Yarrowia lipolytica: one gene and its partners. The protein of the gene in region 1 interacts with the protein of each later gene in a biochemical or structural test. Links are inferred from orthologs where the notes say so. Each region holds a gene or a part of one and is shown in the gene's direction. Other genes may lie near its edges. The genes, in order: YALI1_F35061g, YALI1_F12365g, YALI1_F30395g and YALI1_D09831g.

What was found.
Region 2: the proteins of YALI1_F35061g (region 1) and YALI1_F12365g interact in a test that uses a peptide from one of them, tested with the Saccharomyces cerevisiae proteins (2 studies listed by BioGRID). The link is inferred for Yarrowia lipolytica from reciprocal best matches to the Saccharomyces cerevisiae genes BEM1 and BCK1.
Region 3: the proteins of YALI1_F35061g (region 1) and YALI1_F30395g form a complex in vitro, tested with the Saccharomyces cerevisiae proteins (2 studies listed by BioGRID). The link is inferred for Yarrowia lipolytica from reciprocal best matches to the Saccharomyces cerevisiae genes BEM1 and RSR1.
Region 4: the proteins of YALI1_F35061g (region 1) and YALI1_D09831g form a complex in vitro, tested with the Saccharomyces cerevisiae proteins (2 studies listed by BioGRID, with this or other methods). The link is inferred for Yarrowia lipolytica from reciprocal best matches to the Saccharomyces cerevisiae genes BEM1 and BOI2.

Annotation. Positions count from the first base shown.
Region 1 is NC_090775.1:3,503,753-3,508,441, reverse strand, and holds YALI1_F35061g (uncharacterized protein), read left to right. Parts: upstream 1-1,600; coding exon 1,601-1,609; intron 1,610-2,266; coding exon 2,267-4,177; downstream 4,178-4,689. Other genes in the region: YALI1_F35029g (uncharacterized protein), read right to left, coding at 4,591-4,689.
Region 2 is NC_090775.1:1,235,872-1,242,882, reverse strand, and holds YALI1_F12365g (uncharacterized protein), read left to right. Parts: upstream 1-1,931; coding exon 1,932-6,184; intron 6,185-6,330; coding exon 6,331-6,469; downstream 6,470-7,011. Other genes in the region: YALI1_F12430g (uncharacterized protein), read left to right, coding at 1-92; YALI1_F12422g (mitochondrial 54S ribosomal protein bL21m), read left to right, coding at 678-1,121. UniProt on the Saccharomyces cerevisiae protein: Serine/threonine protein kinase involved in a signal transduction pathway that plays a role in yeast cell morphogenesis and cell growth. This pathway seems to start by SMP3; then involve the kinase PKC1 that may act on this kinase.
Region 3 is NC_090775.1:3,038,249-3,041,393, reverse strand, and holds YALI1_F30395g (uncharacterized protein), read left to right. Parts: upstream 1-1,849; coding exon 1,850-2,614; downstream 2,615-3,145. UniProt on the Saccharomyces cerevisiae protein: Ras-related protein which binds GDP/GTP and possesses intrinsic GTPase activity. Involved in development of cell polarity during the cell division cycle, and essential for bud emergence.
Region 4 is NC_090773.1:981,071-985,988, forward strand, and holds YALI1_D09831g (uncharacterized protein), read left to right. Parts: upstream 1-2,034; coding exon 2,035-4,416; downstream 4,417-4,918. UniProt on the Saccharomyces cerevisiae protein: Protein involved in bud formation. Functions redundantly with BOI1 to promote the fusion of secretory vesicles with the plasma membrane at sites of polarized growth. Acts as an abscission inhibitor during cytokinesis in response to chromatin bridges.

The DNA of each region.
Region 1 (4,689 bases):
GGTACGTTTTGAATCGAAGGGGGCCAAGGTGCTCCAATCAAGTGAAGGTTCTGTTATCGAAAGAATTGTCCGAAGCGCCAGCACAGGGCACACGACACGCCCCAGTCTCGTATAATCTAAGAAAGTGCTGTATAGGTAGAAGGTGGTAACTTGGCAAGGCTTAGGCTGGTTGCAAAGCCTTGACTGTTATTTTTAGGTCTGCGAGTCTCGTGCTTTTAACGGTACAGTACTTACAGTACATACTGCGGAAGCAATCCTCACTGGCGGCTCGTCCGGTGTTCCAGATCTCTCTCCGCACCAGCCGAGACAACCATGTGTATCACAGTATCTTCCTCTGCAAGAATTTCTTTTTCTCTCCTGGACAATTCAGTCGTGTTACAGATCTGTATTTGTATGGTATGTACTGCCCCCCACGCTAATGTTCGTCAAAACTGCCCTAATCAACGGCTACCAACAAAGAGTTTTTCATGGCAGCCACTTGGCTTATGAAGCTCCCGAGATAATGCGAATGTCTGTGTGGGTTTGTAAACGTGGGTGTTACTCAGACGGCCTGGATCCCTGTCTCCCACTCTACGCAGCAGCGTTTCACCATTGTTTCACAACAGAGTTGCGCGGAGGAGTGGACATTTTCTGTCAAATAAGAATATTAAGGAAGGAAAAAGTCTTCAGAACAGCGTTATTGACGCTAAAGCCTACGGGGCTAAAAATAGGCCACCAAGGACAGGACAATTGAGTACAACGAAAAAGGGCTTCCTGACCAAGAGTGTTGGATGGGTAAATAGCTTCATTTCGGGGTCATTCAGCAAGTAAAAGTACGTTACATGGCAATATGGCGACACTTTTTGGCAGCATCTTCAATCTCTTTTTGAACAAACATTCAACCTCTTTCGGCACAGTGCATTTACATAACCTAAACGCCCAAAATGGATCCAATATTGATCCAGCCCGAAAGTGCCAGTCGATGCGAGGGGTGTAGACACAACCGCGGTGGCGATCATCCAGCATGTTCGCTTCAGCCGGGCGTAAGTAGCTCCGCTAAATGGAATCATGACTTTGTATGACAAGAAAACAACCACCAGCAGATTCGAGGGACTCCACTCCTCATTTACCCCTTCCTAGAGATATTTCTGGAGAAAGCCAAATCCGGGCTTGGCACGGCTGAGTCGTCGTCTGCATGCACCGTTCCACACTCATTTAAACACACAGATATCTTTGCAGCACCACCGCATGACAGATTATGACACCACGGACATGAAAGTAGGGTAAGCTCCAACTTCCAGTGGGTGTGGTTAAGATCAAATGAGGCCAACATGTTGCCCATGGGGCAGTGTGGTTATATAAAGGGGGTATTAGAAGAATGAGAGAGAGAGGAAAGCGGGGGTCTGAAAATATCGAGGCCAAGTTTGTTTTCAAAAATAAATAAACCAGGCAAGCCCCATTTACACACCCTCCATCACTTTTGGGCTTTCCTGAAATTCACACAAGTTATACTCACTACCTTCCTCCCACTTGCACCCCACTAATCATCCCTGTGGTGCTAAGGTTTCAAAGGCAAAGTGCAAACACAGTTTCAGTATCCGTCGTCCCTACCGTTTGAGAAATGATCAAGGTGAGTATTAACGGCTGTTTGGAGGCCGTATGCGGACTGCTGAGGGTGTGTGATGGGTCCACGAAGCTCGCTGGACACCCAGCATGTCTCCAGATGTCGTTACACCCCTAGGAAGGTGCTGTGGCGTGAGTGGAGACCCCATGCTGTCACAGAGGAAACATGAACGGAAATGGAGAAAGAGCAATGGTGGACATGGGAACAGTCAGAACTGGAGATTACGTTGGTATTAAATGTTCTGCATCGCTGTTTTCATCGTTTCTGTGTGGCTTTGGGGTAGCTTTGGGGCTGTCACAGTGTGATTGCCATGTCCATGATAAGCAACTAAACCGGGCGCTAGTCAGGGGCATGGACCGTGTATTCAGCGGACCCATATTCAGTGTTGACTACGCAATCATTGACCAGATAGAAGCTCCAAGCTCGTTTTGTTTCTGTTTCCAGGCCTGGGGCATACGAGCAGAAACACCCTTCCAACCGGAGCTACCCCATCGATATACCCATCACTTCACCAATCCCTCCTAAAGGCTGTTTTATGACTCTTTACATCCTTGTCACCACAGACTTGGTGTTGTTATGGGCTTGTTTTTTACGTCATGACACAAGAAGCCGGCTGCTGTTAGCTCCTGACGCACGGCCCCTCGGTTCCGTATACTAACTCAGGGAATCCGCCGCTCTCTCAAAGGCGAGAAGACCACGTCGTCTGGCTCGGCCAACTCGCTGGTCAGCGACAAAAACCCGCTCCACACGAACCCCCCGAAAATGGTGATTCGAGCACTTTACGACTACGAGCCACAAGGACCCGGCGAGCTCTCATTTTGCAAGGGCGACTTTTTCCACGTGATTTCCAACGAACAGGACTCGGAGTGGTTTGAGGCTTTCAACCCGCTGCGCAACGTGCGAGGCATGGTGCCCGTGCCTTACTTTGAGGTTCTCGGCAAGAAGGAGGGTATCACCTCGCCCGACCCAAATGAGGCTCTTCTCCCCGAAGAACGAAAGGCGCTGCACAGATCGAGTCAGAGCAAGCATGCTCAGCACTCACCTCAACATGTTCTGGCCAATGGGCTAGACGTTTCACAGTCCATGCAGAACCTCAGTTTAGGGGGCGCATCTGGCTCCGGAGGCCACACCAGAGAACCCTCCATGGCGGGCGCATCCGACCGATCGTCGCAGGGCAAGAGCACCCCCACTCTGCACGGCGTGGTGCTCTACGACTTCCAAGCCGAGCGGCCCGACGAGCTGCAAGCATCCAAGGGCGATAACATCATCATTCAGGCCCAATCCAATCACGAGTGGTTTGTTGCCAAGCCCGTTGGCCGACTGGGAGGCCCCGGTCTGATCCCTGCCTCGTTTATCGAGATCAGAGACATAGTGACAGGAAAGGCGGTTGTCGACGTGGAGTCTGCCTTACGGGCTTCTGGCTTGCCCAAGGTGGAAGAGTGGAAAAGGATGGCAGCAGACTACAAGGCGTCCAGCATTGCTCTTGGCAATTTTGACGACCCCCAGCAACACTCGCAGCAGCAGGCTCTGCAGCATGCTCTGCGTGGACAGCAGACTCTGCAGGAACACCAGGTTCAACAGGAACACCAGACTCTGCAAGAAAGACAATCTCTGCAGGAACAGCAGGCTCTCCGGGAACAGCAGGCTCTCCGGGAAAATTACGCTGCCCCTGCCACTGGACCTCTCGTTGTAGCGGCGTCCGTCGAGTCGTTTGCATTACACTCGGGTCGATACTGGTACCTCGTCAACGCAGAGCTGGAGGACGGCTCCATGCGGCGATTGTGCCGATACTACCAGGACTTCTACGTATTCCAAATCAACCTGCTGGGGGTGTTCGAAGAGGCTGCTGGTCACAATGATCAGCCTCGTCTGCTTCCTTTCATGCCCGGGCCTCTTACCTACGTTAACGACTCCATCTCCATGCAGCGACGTCACAACCTTGACGAGTACGTCCGCAAGCTCATGGCTCTTCCCGCTTATATTTCACGGTCTGTGATCATGCAGGAGCTGTTTGCTCTCCGCCCTGGTGATGTGGCGGCCGCCGGTCCCACCGACGACCTTCCACAGCCTCTGACGCCGGAGACCGAGTCGTTTGACGCCGCTCAGGCCGAGGCGCGGGCAAAGGGCATTCATCCCAAATCTCTGGGGCCGACTAATGTGTCTTCCAGCAGCGTAAGCTATTCGGAAGGCACCGAGGAGTCTCGGCCTGTGAGCACTGCATCGGGTCTCATGGGTCCTCCTGAACCCACCGGACTCCCCGGCGGCGGACACCAGCGAATGACCTCTGTGTCCACGGTGGGTCCCACGCCCGATAACCCCGCCGTCAATACGCCGCAGTCGTCATCTAACTCGGTCAAGGTGAAGGTTTTCTATCAGGACGATCTGATTGCGATTCGAGTACCCTCGGACATCGATTACGCTACTCTACACGACCGGTTGTGTGAGCGATTACGGGTCGAGACGCTGAGTCTACTGTACAAGGCAGATGACGGTAGCCGGGTGGTTATCAGCAACGATGAGGATCTGGGCGCTGCAGTGTACGGAAAGAACAAGCTAGTTTTGTACGCTAGTTAAGAGTGGCCTTTGGGAGTGCTGGAGTCAAATTTCGCGTTTCTGGCTGTTCAAAGCGGGCTTCAAACTGTCTGTTTGGTACTATCTGTATAAACTGCGGTTCGAACTATTATAGATCGCTCTTTATGCATTGAGCGTCGCGCGTCTTGCACCCAACCCGTTTGAAAACTTGAACCACCACCAGGAGGTGCGTCCGAAGACGATGTGGGCATTGTGTATTTTAGGTGTAGCATATATTTTTAAGGCTGTGTTATGATTTGAGGGATCGGGGGACCGTACGGGTAGCTATATGTCTTACACTGGCTCGCTTACAGGGTCGTGTCACTTGGTGTTATACATGTATACCATCTGATAGGTATACAGTCTATGTTATTACAGTATGTACAGTTAGTAGACGCCCACTTCAGAAGAGCCGATTAATGCAACGAGTTTCTCCTGGTTCCATCCATGGGGGCATCGTCGTCCATCATATAGTCCGGATCGGTCTGTCCCACCACGGTATCTGGGCTAGTAAA
Region 2 (7,011 bases), about 2.3 Mb from region 1:
TCGGGCGCATCGGATTTAGCAATGGCCTGTTTGGGCCTAATTTCGAGTTGAGTCGTAATCCCGCAGTGATGGTATTTTTTTTCTCGCAGTGATGTATTTTTTTCTTTTTTCCCCTCTTTTTTTGAAATAAACAATTTAATTGATAATTGCACTTGGGGTAAAGCAGATGTTAGAGGAGATTCGGGTTTTTATTGGTGGCTCTCACAAAAAAAAAATTCTTTTGAATTTTCGTACCTCCGTCTCCAATTAAATTGACCAATTTGCTGTTGATATCGGCTTAGTAATGTATGTCTTAGTTGGAATATTTAGTTGAATGATTAGTTTACTGAATGCATCATATTTTATGTATTGTGTATAAAAATATATATAATATGTTACAGTATATACAGTATATGTTATAAAAAAATACCCTAAGAAAAGTGAGAAAAAAAAAAGAAGAAAAAAAACATTACATTAACCGTGATTGCGGGTTCGATCCTCGAGCGCTAGATTATATCACATGCTCCGATTCTAATAAAACAAGACAATTCCGCCCCAAATATACGCCGTACATACTCGGTGGTATTTTCGTCTCTTGAATCCCCCCATTCACCGCCCCGCTTACATCATGTACCAATCTTCCAACTGAAACTTTTTCATACATACATCACCACTTCACACAACACCACACAAACACAATGATGTCGCTATTGAGACAGGTGCGGCACATGTCGACCGCCGCCAGCGCGCCCAGCGGGTTCCTCAAGGTGTCTGCCGAGCAGATCAAGCCCCTGCTGCTCGCCAACCAGCACATTTTCGCCAAGGTGCACATGCACAACAACGCCTACCTGGTGACCAAGGGCGACCAGATGCGACTGCCTTACCGGTTCAAGGGCCTCAAGGTGGGCGACGTGATCAACTTTGAGCACGTGAGCCAGATCGGCTCTCGGGATCACGTGTTCCAGGGTGACAAGTACATTTCCCAGGACCACTTCAACATCAAGGGCGTTGTGACTGCTCTCACTGCTGAGCCCATGACCACCCATGTTCACCATCGAATCAAGGACAAGGGTTACACTCGGACCCAGCGAAAGGTGCCCCAGACCATCATTCGAATTAGCGAGCTGGAACTCAAGGCTTAGAAGAGGAAGTTGAAATTACGAGTGGAGCGAGTAATTTGGTTCTTCTGCGTTATGTATATAGGAATGCATTTATTGCGTAAAGGAACGACACCGGGCGACACAGGTGCTACTGTCCAACGAGCACTGGCTATCATGTGCAGTTGTGGGTCGTGATCTACAACTGAGATCAGTATGTGAATGGAAGGCAACAATTGAGGTTGTAGTGAGGTCATTATATAGTGGGGGTATCGATAAAGTGTCTGGAGTTGAAAAGTTGCAGACGAATATCTCCATTTGGTATTTTGCTTGGTACGGTGAATTGATGATTGTAGCCATACTAGGTACCAGTGTGACTATGGAGGATGGGGGATCTAAGAGGGTCTAAGATCTAAGGTCTAGATCTAAGAAGGTCTAAACATGTTAATAGAGGTCTCTACAGATGCTGAGATACACGTGTCTAGTCACCATCTTCAATTACCGGTCAAATACTCCCCAATATCTCTCCCTCACTTCGTCACCAAATCTAAACAAAACAGTTGAGGATTTATTTGACTCGGTTGTCCCAGTTGGGTGCGGCTTTAACGAAGAGAGGACGGATTAATGTGGCTGAACTTGCTCCAAAAGTGACCTTTTTGGAACGGGGAAAAACGGAATTAACTCATAACCAGATTTATGACGCTTTGCACTCTTCACTTTCCCCCATAATCTCCTTCAACCCCCTCAACCTCTCTCGTTCTGACCCCGATAAACTTAAACTCCCTGCAAACACGAGACCACGCACTCCAGCATCTCACCACTACTTGTACAGTACAAGCACCCGTACACGGAACCATGGGCGAGTTCCATATCAACCTGATTCCGACGTACGACGACGCTCATAATCTCACGGACGATCTGCAGTCCGTGTCGTCGTCGCCGTACTCGGTGACCGTGCCCAAAAACCGACTTCGTTCGCGCAGCGACTTGTCTGAGGTCGCAGACCGATCTGTGTCCACTGGAGCTCTGGAGCGACTGGTTCCGAACCCAAACAAGATCCGCGTCGACCGACGTGTCGTGAGTGATACCAATGGTGACTCGAATGCCAACTCGGGTCCCAGTCTCACGCACCATCTTTCCCATGCCAATCTTAACACTTACAACAACAACAGCAGTACCAACAACTTGCAGACTCCGCAGAAGCTCAAGTCGTCTGTTTCCTACTCTTCGCTACATCGCACACCCAACAACAACAACTTTGACACCTCGTTCCAGTCTCTGCAGTCCGAACAGTCGTTCCATACCGCGCCGTCTCCAGACGGAGTGCTGTCGTCAAGTCCTAACGAGACCAGACTCAAATTCCAGAAAAGCAGAGACATTTTACGCCAGGGAGCCCCGTCTCCCCTCAATCTCACGCCGGGGAATAGATCTGTGAACGCCACGTCGCCTCATCCTCCGACACCTTCGGCATACTTGTTTGAAAACGACTCCAGCCATAAGAACCAGGAACAGCCGAGTAAACAGAGCCCGATCCAGTACTCGTCGCCGCATCCCATTGGAAACGCCATCTCTTGGAAGGCAGACGAGCCCAATAATTGGACGCTGGACCGTGTGCTCATGTTTCTGGACTTGTATCAGTTTGGCCCCGACTGGGCCCAGACCTTCACAGAACGCAACATCGTGGAAGGGCGGTTCTTGGAGCTCGTGAGCTACCAGAAACTCAAGGCTCTGGGCCACCTTAGTCTGAACAATGGAGAGGTGGACACTTCTCCCTCGAGATTCATTCATATCCTGCGGAAGACGCTTAACAGAGGTACATCCAGTGGCACTATTGACGTTGACGCGTTGAACTCCTCTCAGAGCAGTGATGGTACTACAGGGAGACATGCGGCAACAAGCAGCCCACAAGCGTTTACTTCTCCTCAAATGGGCTCTCCTGTGATCTCTCAAAACTCTCCCGTTCCACATCACTCCCCGGCTCCCTCTGAGCCCCCTCCCCCTCCTCCGCCTCCAACGAATTCTGCTTCCTCCCCCGCCCCGCATCGAAATTCAGCTCCCCCTCCCCCAACTTCTACACCTTCAGCTGTTCAGGCCAAAGCTCACATTCCAAACAGCCCCTCAACTTCGTCTCTGACATCTCCGCTAGTGCCTACCACTTCAGCTCCAGCTGACAAAATCACCCCTCGACCGCTCAAGACAAATCGTCCTCAGCGACCAATGACAGCGTATGAGGGTCTCTACCGCACCATGAAGTCACCCGTATCTCCGTCCGGAAACTTCTTCAGACGTACTCACCATAAGTCGTCGTCGTCTGAGTCTTCCATTTTGGGGGAAGATGGTCTACCAAAGGAGGAAGAGAGAAAGAGTCGAAACCTGTTTTCGAGACTCCGGCGAAGGGACAGATCGTCTTCAAAGAACAGAAACTCGACAATCCCCCCTTCTCCTGTGGATCACGATGGAGCTGCTTCTCTGTACTCCAACGAGTCCAAGGATAAAACGTCCTCACCTACATTGACATCTTCATCTGGGTGGGCACCTCCTAAACCGCCCAAAGTGCCGATTCCTAACCCCACATACAACCCTCCCCCGCTTCCTCCTCGGTCGGGGTCTCAGCAGACTCCTACCTCTGCTTCTACCCACCATTCCTCGCTGTCTGGCTTCTCGGTCAACTCTCAGCCGGCACCCAGTACTCCTCTGGACCGGTACTTTACAATCACCCAGAACGACAGAATGATTCTGGTCACTCTGGACAACGTGCATTTTGTGGCCGCGGACTTGAAGAATGTGCTTTCGGTTCCTCAAGCTACAGATGTCATTGCGAAGGCTTTGGGCCTCAATACTCATGATCTGCGGTTCAGACTCACCGATGTGGGTAGTGAAGCTAGTGAGAAACTCGACGAGGAAGCCCTCAGCTACTTCTTTTCTGACAACAAAGTCATGTTATCGAATTACAAGCTGTTGGTCGAGTCGGCGTCTCCCTCAGCCACTCTAGCACCCGCAGTGGCTGCACAGACGTCTTCCTCAGTTACTTCTTCCCCTGGAAAGTCGATTTACTCCCTTGAAACCCCCTCAGGGGGCACAAAGTACCCTGCCACGCCTTCCTACCTCTACACGAAGACGCAAGAGCCTCCTGGGGACTACTTTTCCAGCCAACCACCCTCCAAACCGACCCGGCAGCCTTCCCAATCATCTATTCAAACTGCTTCTGACGACCAGGATTCGTTCAAGGTAATTCGTCCTCCTCCCAAGAAGGAGATCAACTTTGACAACCGACGCTCATCTCCCTACGATACCTTGTCTCGAAACACGTCTTTTGTCGCACGTCGAGAAGCCCCCCGACGTCCCGAGTCATCTTCTTCTGTGCGAGTAAGATCCACGGCTGTCAACTCGTACACACCGGGTGAGTCTGAAAAGTTCATTCCTAGACCGTATCATGGAGGCAGTAACCGGCTAGTGATGCGCAAACCTGTCAGTGCAGCCTCTTCACCTGTTGATCAGCAGTCCAACGACCCTACTGCAGCTACAACTGCGGTTTCTGCTGCCCCTCAACCGTCTCGTCTTAACCCCAAGTTGTCTGGCAACTTCACTTTTGGCCGATCGGGACTCAAATTCAAGGTGCCCAACTACCAGGACAAGCTGCAGCGAAGGTCCACATCCTCCTCCGTGCGAGTTGCGCCCGAGCAAAACTTCCAAGAGAACGATATCTCGTTTGACGACATTCAGTTTGACGACGATGATGATGAGTCAGATGATGGGCTGTGGTCCAAGAAGCTGACCAAGCCGACGGAGGCGGTCTCTTCGACGGTCTCATCCACGCGCTCCTCCACTTCTTCGTCTTCAGACGTCTGGGCCGTCCGTCCTCCTGCTGAGGTTGTTTACGACAACCTGGAGCGGTTCTTCCCCAACGCCGATCTCGATAAACCGATCATTGACGATGTGGAGTCACCGCCCACGTCGCCTGACAAGCGCGAGACGCTCGACTACGTGAAACCCCGTTCCATGATCATTGACCAGAGTCAGAACGACCGAAAGGCCACTATCACACCTCTCACCTCCAAGATCAAGGAGGAGGGCACGCTGGAGAAGGAGGAGAAGACTCCCGCGGCAAAATTCTCGCGAAAAACGGGCACCTCCCGTATCAAATCGATCCGAGTGGTTGCCAGGGAGGCATCCGAGGCCCGGAAACGGTTCTCCACGTCATCCACCAAGTCCACAATGACGAATCCGGCTTTGCTGCGACGGCGATCGACGAAAATGTGGGGCCAGAAGGTGGTGGAAGCTACGCCCAACCAGATCAAGAAGGGCCACATTTCTACTGTGCGCGACCAGCGGGGCCATCTCAAGAAGTTTGTATGGGTCAAGGGTGAGCTGATTGGCGTGGGTACCTTTGGTAAGGTTTATCTGGCTCTTAATGCCACCACTGGAGACATGATGGCAGTCAAGCAGGTTGAGGTGCGCAACAAGGCTGCTGCTGAGGTCGGTGTGGGTGCCCTACATGCCGAAGTCGGTACTATGAAGAACCTGGACCATTTCAACATTGTGCAGTATCTAGGCTTTGAAACCATGCAGGACCACACTTACAACCTGTTTCTGGAGTACGTGCCTGGAGGCAGTGTGGGTTCTTGTTTGCGCAACCATGGTCGGTTTGAAGAGAACATTGTGCGATTCCTTACGCGGCAGATTCTTGAGGGTCTAGCGTATCTGCATGGCTGTGGCATTCTTCACCGAGATCTCAAGAGTGACAATCTGTTGCTCGACCTGGACGGAGTGTGCAAGATTTCGGACTTTGGCATCTCGAAGAAGTCTCGGGACATCTACTCCAACGACGCCGAAATGTCCATGCAGGGCACGATTTTCTGGATGGCTCCCGAGGTGATTCACAATGTCATCCACAATGAGAAGCAGGGCTATTCCGCCAAGGTTGACATTTGGTCTCTTGGATGTGTTGTGCTGGAGATGTTTGCCGGACGACGACCGTGGAGCAACGATGAGGCTATTGGAGCCATGTACAAACTTGGAAATAGCCGGTTGGCTCCTCCTATTCCGGAGGATACCAAGACGTTTGTGTCGGAAGATGCAAAGGACTTTTTGGACAAGTGTTTTATTATGTGAGTAACGAGAATCGTGAGCGATGGGAGCGATTCGAGACGAGACGAGCTAACGTGAAGCGTTGGTTATGTTAATAATGGTGGGGTTTTTGTTTTGCAGAGGAAGTCCCTCTTGCTTTTTCACACCCTGGTAGATACTAACCCAGTGATCCGGAACAACGACCGACAGCTCAACAACTATTGGACCATCCCTTTTGCACGCTGAGCCAAGACTTCAACTTCTTGGACACGTCGCTCGCCAAGGTGATTCGGTTCAACGACAAACGACCGATTCAGGAGTCGTGATTATTTATTAATGATACCACGTAATGATTGACTGGGGTGGCTGTTCCAGCAACTGTAGATGAAGGGGCAGACCAGACGTGGAGATGTAGATGGTGGACAGTGAGTAGTCTGTGAACGATTGTGTGCTTGTCTGGACGTTGAATCGTTCGAACTGACAATACGAGCCCCGAAAGCAATTCCATATGGTCGACATCATGTGTATGAGTAGATGCCATCGTCTTGATATAGTGGTGAGTCCAATGTGGGCTACAACTTGAGCGGATGTGGAGCGGTAAACAGGTCTGCTAACGAGGTCCAGGACTCCATCAATGGCTCTACAACGATCCTGATGGGTCTTCAAGTGAGTTTTTGTACTGCCTCTTTAGGCACAGTTTTGTTTAAGTCTTTACTTGACAATTAGTTAAATAAAAGTTGTGCTGGGGATCCGGATTTGATGATTAAAAAGAGATGGGGAAATGAGAAGTTTTTCAGATGATAGGTAGGACCCCATTTAATGACTAATATGTCCGAATAATGTCTGTCTTCATACAAGTTTTGAATGT
Region 3 (3,145 bases), about 470 kb from region 1:
CGTAGTGTAGTTAGACGACCCAAGGAGTCTGTCATCGGTCCTTGGTTGATGTTTAGGCACTCCTTGCATGACACGATGGAAAACTTTGCACCTTGTGTGTGTGGTTGAACAATCGGAGAGAAAAAAAAGTATGAAGGAGTGCATCCAAGGGGTGAGCTAAGCTAACAATAGTGGCTCTCTGGCATAATGAGTAGAGGTGTCGCGTGGCTGGTTTGACAGAAAGAAAAAAAAGGGGGGCAAAAAAAAAGAACCAGGGTGTCTTTTGTTTCATGTGGACAGCGGCTTATTCCTTTTCTCGTGGCTGTATAAATGCACGGGCTCGATATTTTTCGCCCGTTGTTTTGCACATTTTCTGCCAGATGTATGTTTATACCCGTCTGTGCTGTTTTGATTTTCCCCAGATGAAGATCTCTGGCTCTGAGGGTGGGCACTGTATCAACCCTTTAGGTTCGACTGGTGCACACCAAACACACAGTTGGCAGAGCTACAAGTAGGGCAGCGTTCAGAGCAAGCTACTCGTACTGTAGCATGTGTACAAGTGCCAGGGGAGAGAAGGGAGACGTCTGGGGTCCATCTGACGATCTCCTGAGCGATTCTAAGACTTGAGAGCCCTGGTTCGCGCCCTGCCGTCCCCAAATTCCTCACTATCCACTTCCGTCATCTCGGGAGTGACGGAATGCAGTCTTGGGGGTTTTTAGGTTGTCAAGCGCTCCTAACAACACAGTGTCTATGTGTGGTTAGGACGAAGCCAGCAAGACAGGAGAAGAAGGGGAATGCAAGGAGCGCACCACTGCCAGTGGACGTTACATTCTTAGCGAGTGGGAGACGTGAGGCTGTCGGTTCAGACCGCAGAATGAAACAACTCGCCTTGTACAAGTATCGAACTCGCTACTGGCAGAGTGTCTCGCACCGCGCTTGTATGTGGTGGTGTGGTCTTGGGTTGCCCTGATTTTCATGATTGTCAACAGTGTTTTGACAATTGAGTTTCCAGCGGGGTCTACTTGTATCGGGCTGAATAATCATCTACACGCGCGCAACTATAGCTGTTATGCTAGACACGAGGCTGGTACAGCGCTCGGTTTGTTTATGTCCCGTGTCCACAATATTGCACAGCTTCTATGCCACTTGTACCCCTTATGTGGCTATACTAGTACAGCACGTGCCCCGAGCCTAAAGAGGTCGCGTTTCGCGTCTTGACACAAAAGTACATATGGCACTTTTCGGCGGAATATTTGTGTCAGAGCGAAATAATAAACGGGTCTATTTTTGGTTCTTCGCCAAGTGGGCCCAGTGAGGTATAGCAGCCAGGCAGGGCATATACGGCTTGAATAACGAGACAAGTAGGGGGCCAAATGAAAGGGCTTAAGGGCCACTTGCCATCAGCCGGACTACTGTACCGAGCAACGTCTGCGGAATGCGTCGTATACGCCTTAAAGCAGAGGGCGCAAAACGCCTAAAGACAACCCACAACTGTCTCACCCGCCTGTTTGAAAGAGGACATAAAAACAAAACAAAAAGCACAGAGACAACAAACAGAGTTTTGGGACTATGCTTTAGTGTTGGTGTATATGAGTTGGAATGAGTGGCGGGCAGCGTCTGATATTTGAGATTCCTGTAGGACGAGAAACAAATAAAAGATGGGAAAAAGTAGCCATAATGAAGTCAAGCATTTTTATGTAATTTTTCCACCCCTATCCCTATCACAACGATGTTCATGGACATCCGCCCAGAACTTGATGACAAACCCAAATTTCACACGTGAACTTAATGTCTAACAAGCGTAGCTACCAAAACATGACTTATACCTGAGCCCTCCTACGCTTCTCACCACCACAAAAAAATACACAGCATGAGAGACTACAAAATCGTCGTTCTGGGCGCCGGTGGCGTCGGAAAGTCTGCCATTACCGTCCAGTACGTGCAGGACATTTTCATCGAGTCCTACGACCCTACCATTGAGGATTCCTACTGCAAAAAGGTGAATCTGGATGGCCGGCACTGCACCATGGAGATTCTCGACACCGCTGGAGTCGAGCAATTCACCGCCATGCGAGAGCTGTACATCCGAAACGGTGAGGGCTTCGTTCTGGTCTACTCAGTCAACTCGGAGTCGTCTTTGCGAGAGCTGCAGGAGCTGCGACAACAGGTGTGTCGGATCAAGGACAACAACAACGTGCCCATGGTGCTGGTGGGCAACAAGTGCGATCTGGAAAACGAGCGACAGGTGCAGCCTCGGGACGGAGTGGCGCTGGCCAACCAATGGGGCAAGGTTCCCTTCTACGAGACGTCGGCCAAGTTCAAGACCAACATTGACCAGGTGTTCCAGGACCTTCTGCGACAGATCATTCGTCGAGACTCGTCGTTTGGCGGCTCAACCGTTTCCTTGGCTGGTACAAGCGGAATGGGCGTGAGCAGCCCTACCCACAGCCCCACGTCCTCTACTGGAGCAGACTATCTGAACATGCCTTACGACGATAGAGCGTCGAAGCACGTGAGTGTCAAGAGTACGAGTTCGGCAGCGTCTATCCGAAACATCTCGACGAGTTTCAAAGGGCATCAGAGGAAGAATTCGGAGGTGAAGAAGAAGAAGAAGAAGGGGTGTGTTATCATGTAAGTTGCACAGTCTAGCTACTTGTTCACAATCAGTTGTGCGGCCTATCAGCCACACATACCTATTTAAGAGTTGATCTCACTGCATGGAGTAGCACAATACTCCCACGTTCGTTAATATATGCATTTTTTTTCTGCCAATATCCTCGCATACTACTTGTACGAGTACGGGTACCCTTGTAGTCTCGTCCTTTTCAACATCTGGCACCTTAATATCTTGTTGTGTTGTGATTTCTAATGAGTATCTTCCAAAATCGTACACATACTTCCACATTCCAGGTGAATGAATCAGCCTTTCCATGGTGAGACAAGTGGGAGGTTGTCACTCTGAACTCATTCGGACTCTCATTCTCTTTAATTGAGCTAAACCCTGGTAAACCAATAATGTCTCTCCTCGCCTATTGCTATGGAGACGGACTGGACGCTCCTTGATACATGGTGCAGTTGTACATGCGAGAAGGAGATGTCGTGTTCTCGTGCGCTGTAGCCCAGATATTAGAATATTTAGTGGGGTGATTGAGGTGTGACCGACATT
Region 4 (4,918 bases), on another chromosome or scaffold:
TCTCAAGGGCTGCTGACGATCATAGACCATTGTTTAATGTTGTAGAGAAGGACACATATGACAGGCCTCACAGTTTGAGTGTACTTGTACATACTGTACTGATTATGTAGACGACTTCACACGGAGACCTCTCGGAAATACTGCGTCCATATAATGGTGCTTCCCATTATGGCTATTCCCGTTGCATTCTCGTAGGGCTTCGCACTCCGAACTATGACGATCTCTTCATCCCGTGCATTTGGAGCGAGGCAACACGCGATCGCTGCGCAAGAACCCTGGTCGGTGATCTGCAAAAGGGATGGAATTTGCCAACTTTTGGGCCAATGTATGTCACCAGTACATACCATGTCCACAGTTACACTTTCAATCACGTGTCAGTCTCGTGATCAAAGCAGGTAGGCACTTTCACGTGACCCAGCCACTCACTCAACCAGTGCATAACCTGTCCTCCTTCTGCTCCAGCCGCACTCCATGGCGCGGAGCAAGGTTTCCACTTGAAGGGCGGAAAGAAAGAAAGAAAAAAAAGAAAGGTGCTGTACATGCAGTGTCACCGCGCTCGTATATCGTACAAAAGCAAGTCAAGTGTGGTGAAGACGGAGACCAAATGGCTGGTATTGGTGGTCTGAGGCACGCTGCTTAGTAACCAACTTTTACCTGTTCCAATAGCAGCTCGGAGACACTCTGCAAGCCGCACTTGGACATCACAGTGTCGTCGTACACGCCGTCAGTCCAGTCAGCACCTAAATTTTCTGCCCCTCCTAATATGCAGACCAATGTAATTTCCTCCTCAACGGTGTATTAATTATTGGCTATACGGAGTAATAGGTGCGGGTGACAGGACTCAAGAGGTGGACATCGAGTATAAGTAGCCCTGTTTACCCCGTACTTTCCAAAGCCCAGGGCAGACTACAGTTCGTACACTGGTACAATAGCTAGCCGCTTGTGCTGGTACTCACGCATTCCTCTACGCACGGCTAGCATGCAGATTTGCAACTAGGACGACGCTGTAGAATGCCACTAGTGCGGCCACGGAGTCACAGGACGAGATTGTGAGATAACCGAGGTCCAAGTGTCGCACCATTACCCCACCTACAGGCAAAACCCATACTACTGTAGATGACTCGTGCTAGCGCCAGTGCGGTCGTACAGCACAGTGTTCACTAACTGGACAGCGCTCTCCGGCCTCCCAAACAAGGCGTCAGGGGAAAGGTACATATGTAGGGTGCAGTGGTGCAATAGGATGTTGACAACGCCCACATTTTGAGACGTCTACAAGTAGAACCCAAAGGGATGTAAAAGTGGACTATTGAGTCAGGTGACGGCTGGGCGGGGCAGTCGCGGAGCTGGTTTGACAGCCCCTGAGCGTCGTGCTGGCCACATCACATCATAAGCCATTGTACGATACCAGGGTGATTTGTACAGTCTTACTTGTTACTTGTATTACTTGTATTGTACTCAGACAAGCTCACCGCTGCTTTTGTTATATAACGTGCGAGTCTAAGAGTCTAAGTGCACCTAAAGAGCAGCCCTTACCCTGACAACAGGGGTTGAGCGTGGCGATGATGGGGTGTTTGTGGGTGAATTTGGGGGTTTCAAAGGTCGATATTAGTCAGAAGGTTGGTTTTGGTTGTAGTTGTGGGGTTTCCCCTCCAAAATCTCGCCCAAAACACCCCCTTGAACCCCCTCATTTCTGCCTTCTTGTTGTCTCCTGTTGCATATTGCAGTCCCAAGCTGCAGAGGTGAAGCAAAGGCGGTCCCAAAGTTTGTGTGTTTCAAGTCCACCCAAGTGCACTATTGTCAGGAAGGCAAAGTGGAATTTTAAAATTCCCCACGATCACCACTTTACACAGATAGGAGCACGGATAGGTGCTACGAGACACGCCGCAGAGACACGATACAAACCAAAATTGATCAAGTGAGCGCACGAGCACGACACAGACAGTTCATTACACAGACACACGATACCACCACCAACAGCCACACAAGACACCTCCCAGTTTCCACCACACTCATTCCAACCAACACTCCACCACAATGTCGGTCAATCCCGCACCCACGCCCTCGCACGAGGTCAAGACGGTGCTGATCGCCATCCACGATTTCAACAACCGGTCGGAGGACGAGCTGACGTTTGTGTCCGGCGAGCAAATCCAGGTGATTGAAAACGACTTTGAATTCAAAGACGGTTGGTACATTGGCAAGCGGCTCATCACGGGCGCCACGGGCCTGTTTCCACGCGTCTTTGCGTCCACCGTGGACGAGCTCATGGACGCGGACGTCCAGCCGGGCCAGCAGCTTCCTTCTTCGGGCCCCACAACTCCCGCAGGCTCGAATCCAAGCTCACGGGTCGTTTCGCAATCACAGCAATCGCCATCGGTCACAAAGACGCTCACAGACATCGATGAGGTGCTTTCGGAGCTCAACAACCACACAAGCCAGCTGTCGGTGACCAAGAAGGCGTCGGCCAACGGAGGCGAGCTGGACCCAGCACGCGTCATGTCGTGGACGCCGATACAGGTGGCAAGATGGTTCGAGAACCGGGGCTTTGAGCCGGCCATCCCCAAGCTCTTTGTCGAACACAAGATATCAGGTGCCATCCTCACCGAGCTCGAGCTGCAACATCTCAAGGAGCTGGACATCACGTCGTTCGGCACGCGGTTCGAGGTGTACAAGGAGATTGAGAAGCTGCGGGGCGATCCCATGTCGCCGCGGCCAACCAGTGGCAGTACCAACCGACGCTCCTCCACCGCATACGTGTCGCCTAAGAAGGGTCATATGCGGAAACGGTCCCAGTCTCTGGACAATCTTGATTCTCCTAGACTGAATAGCGAGTTTCCAATTTCGTCGCCTTCCACCGCTACACCCAGCACGGAGTTTGCTATCCCCCAAGGAGGCACTATTGACGACTTTGGTTTTGAAGAGGGACAGCCCCAGCAACCACCATCACAGCGACTGTCTCAGTCACAACGACAATCACAGTCTGAGCCCCAGACACAGAGGAGTTCGGTACACGACCCTCGCCTGTCTGCATCGCAGCAACAGCAATCTCGAGGACGGTCATCAGCCAACGTGTCTAACAACAGCTCACGTCAATCAGTTACAGAGCCTCCCAAACACGATCTTCCCGAGTTGCCGCGCAAGACGCAGCAGCCACCAGAGGGGGCTGTCGATTCACGCAAATCTAAGGAATCCGTTCGGGATTTCCCCCGCAAGTCTCGTGAGTCGCAACGTCCTCCCCTCCAGCACGCCCACTCGTCGCACTCGACGCCACATTCGGTCATGGACTCGCCCCAGCTGCACCGCCACCCCTCGGCGGGGCATTCTCTCTCATCTGAGAACGCCACTCATTTGGACTCGGACTCGCTGTCGTCATCCCCAGAGCCGAAATCGAGATCGTCGCGACGATCTTCTCTTCTTGACGCGGTCATGAACGCCCCCTTGAGTCCTTCCAAGCGTTCTGGGCGAGAAGTAGGCTCCTCAGATCCCGATCTCACTCTGTCGCCCATCCAGCACCAGAAAGAGCAGCGTCCAGAGGCCATGCCCACTCCTCCCACACCCAAGAGAACCGGCAGCGGTCCCTTCAGAACGCTCCGAAAGACTCCCTCGGCCTCCAACATGCGGTCCAAGAGTCTCAGCTCGAAGCAGAAGACGTCGGCCTTCCGAGAAGGTATCAAGCACGTGAATCCCCGCGAGGCTGCCAAGAAGGCCGACTTTTCGGGCTGGATGTCCAAGAAGGGTTCTCAGAGCGTGGGCACGTGGAAGCAACGGTTCTTCTGTCTCACAGGCACCCGGCTGTCGTACTTTGCATCTCTTAACGACACCTACGAGCGAGGACTAATTGACCTGACGGCCCACAAGGTGGTTCCTGCACGTGACAATGAAGACAAGCTGGTGGCTTTGTATGCATCGGGCACAGGAGCAGGTAGATACTGCTTCAAGCTGTTGCCGCCGGCTCCTGGGTCCAAAAAGGGACTCATGTTCACTGTCCCCAAGGTGCACTACTTTGCGGTGGACACCGCGGAAGAGATGAAGGGATGGATGAATGCATTTCTCAAGGCCACCATTGACCGAGATGATACAGTTCCTATTGTGTCGTCGTGTGTGACTCCTACTGTGACACTGAATCGGGCCCAGGAGATGCTGCAGGAGTCACACAAGAACATGGCGTTGTTGCAGAGCCAGCTGGATGCCAACGGAGGAGACATCGAGGCTGCTGAACAGGCTATTGGCATCAAGACTCCTCCCATGTACAGTGACGAGTTTACGGTTCCCAATGGTGGAGTGACGCGTAAGAAGTCGATGGTCATTTCCCCCACCTCACCGGCGTCCTCTTCCATGCAGTCGCCGAAGAGTTATCAGACTGCGAGTCCGCAGGTTCCAGATATGCCCAGTATTGAGGGCAGTTTACAGGACTAACATTATAATGCTAATTGGAGTTTGGAGTTTGAGAACGCGAGATCAAGGAACTTTCTCCGAGAGCTTGCACACATTTTTCCTCGTACACAGCATGTAGAGAGCTTTTGGACCCAGAGTTATGGAGGGTGTTACTGTAGATTACCCCCACGTAGTGCAGATTACTATTACCACGCTGCAAACAACTCATGAGCTTGTGTCTCTATAAGAAGTGGGAGATCGATACTCTACGAGGGGGCTTGTCTAGTACATTCGTACTCACACTACAGTATGTACATACAAGTATCACTATCGTGTATGGGCAGAGCAGAGACATACAAATCACACTTGGGTGTAGATGACATGAGTTGCAGTATGTACACACGCTTCTAGAGAACTGATGGCTTGATCCACAAGTTTTTCTTCCGGGATGCTGTTGATATGCGGTTGAGGTATACGGCATTTGGCATTGAGAATGTACGATAGCTAGCTAATATCAGATGGTAAAGTCAACTCTCCGACTCGT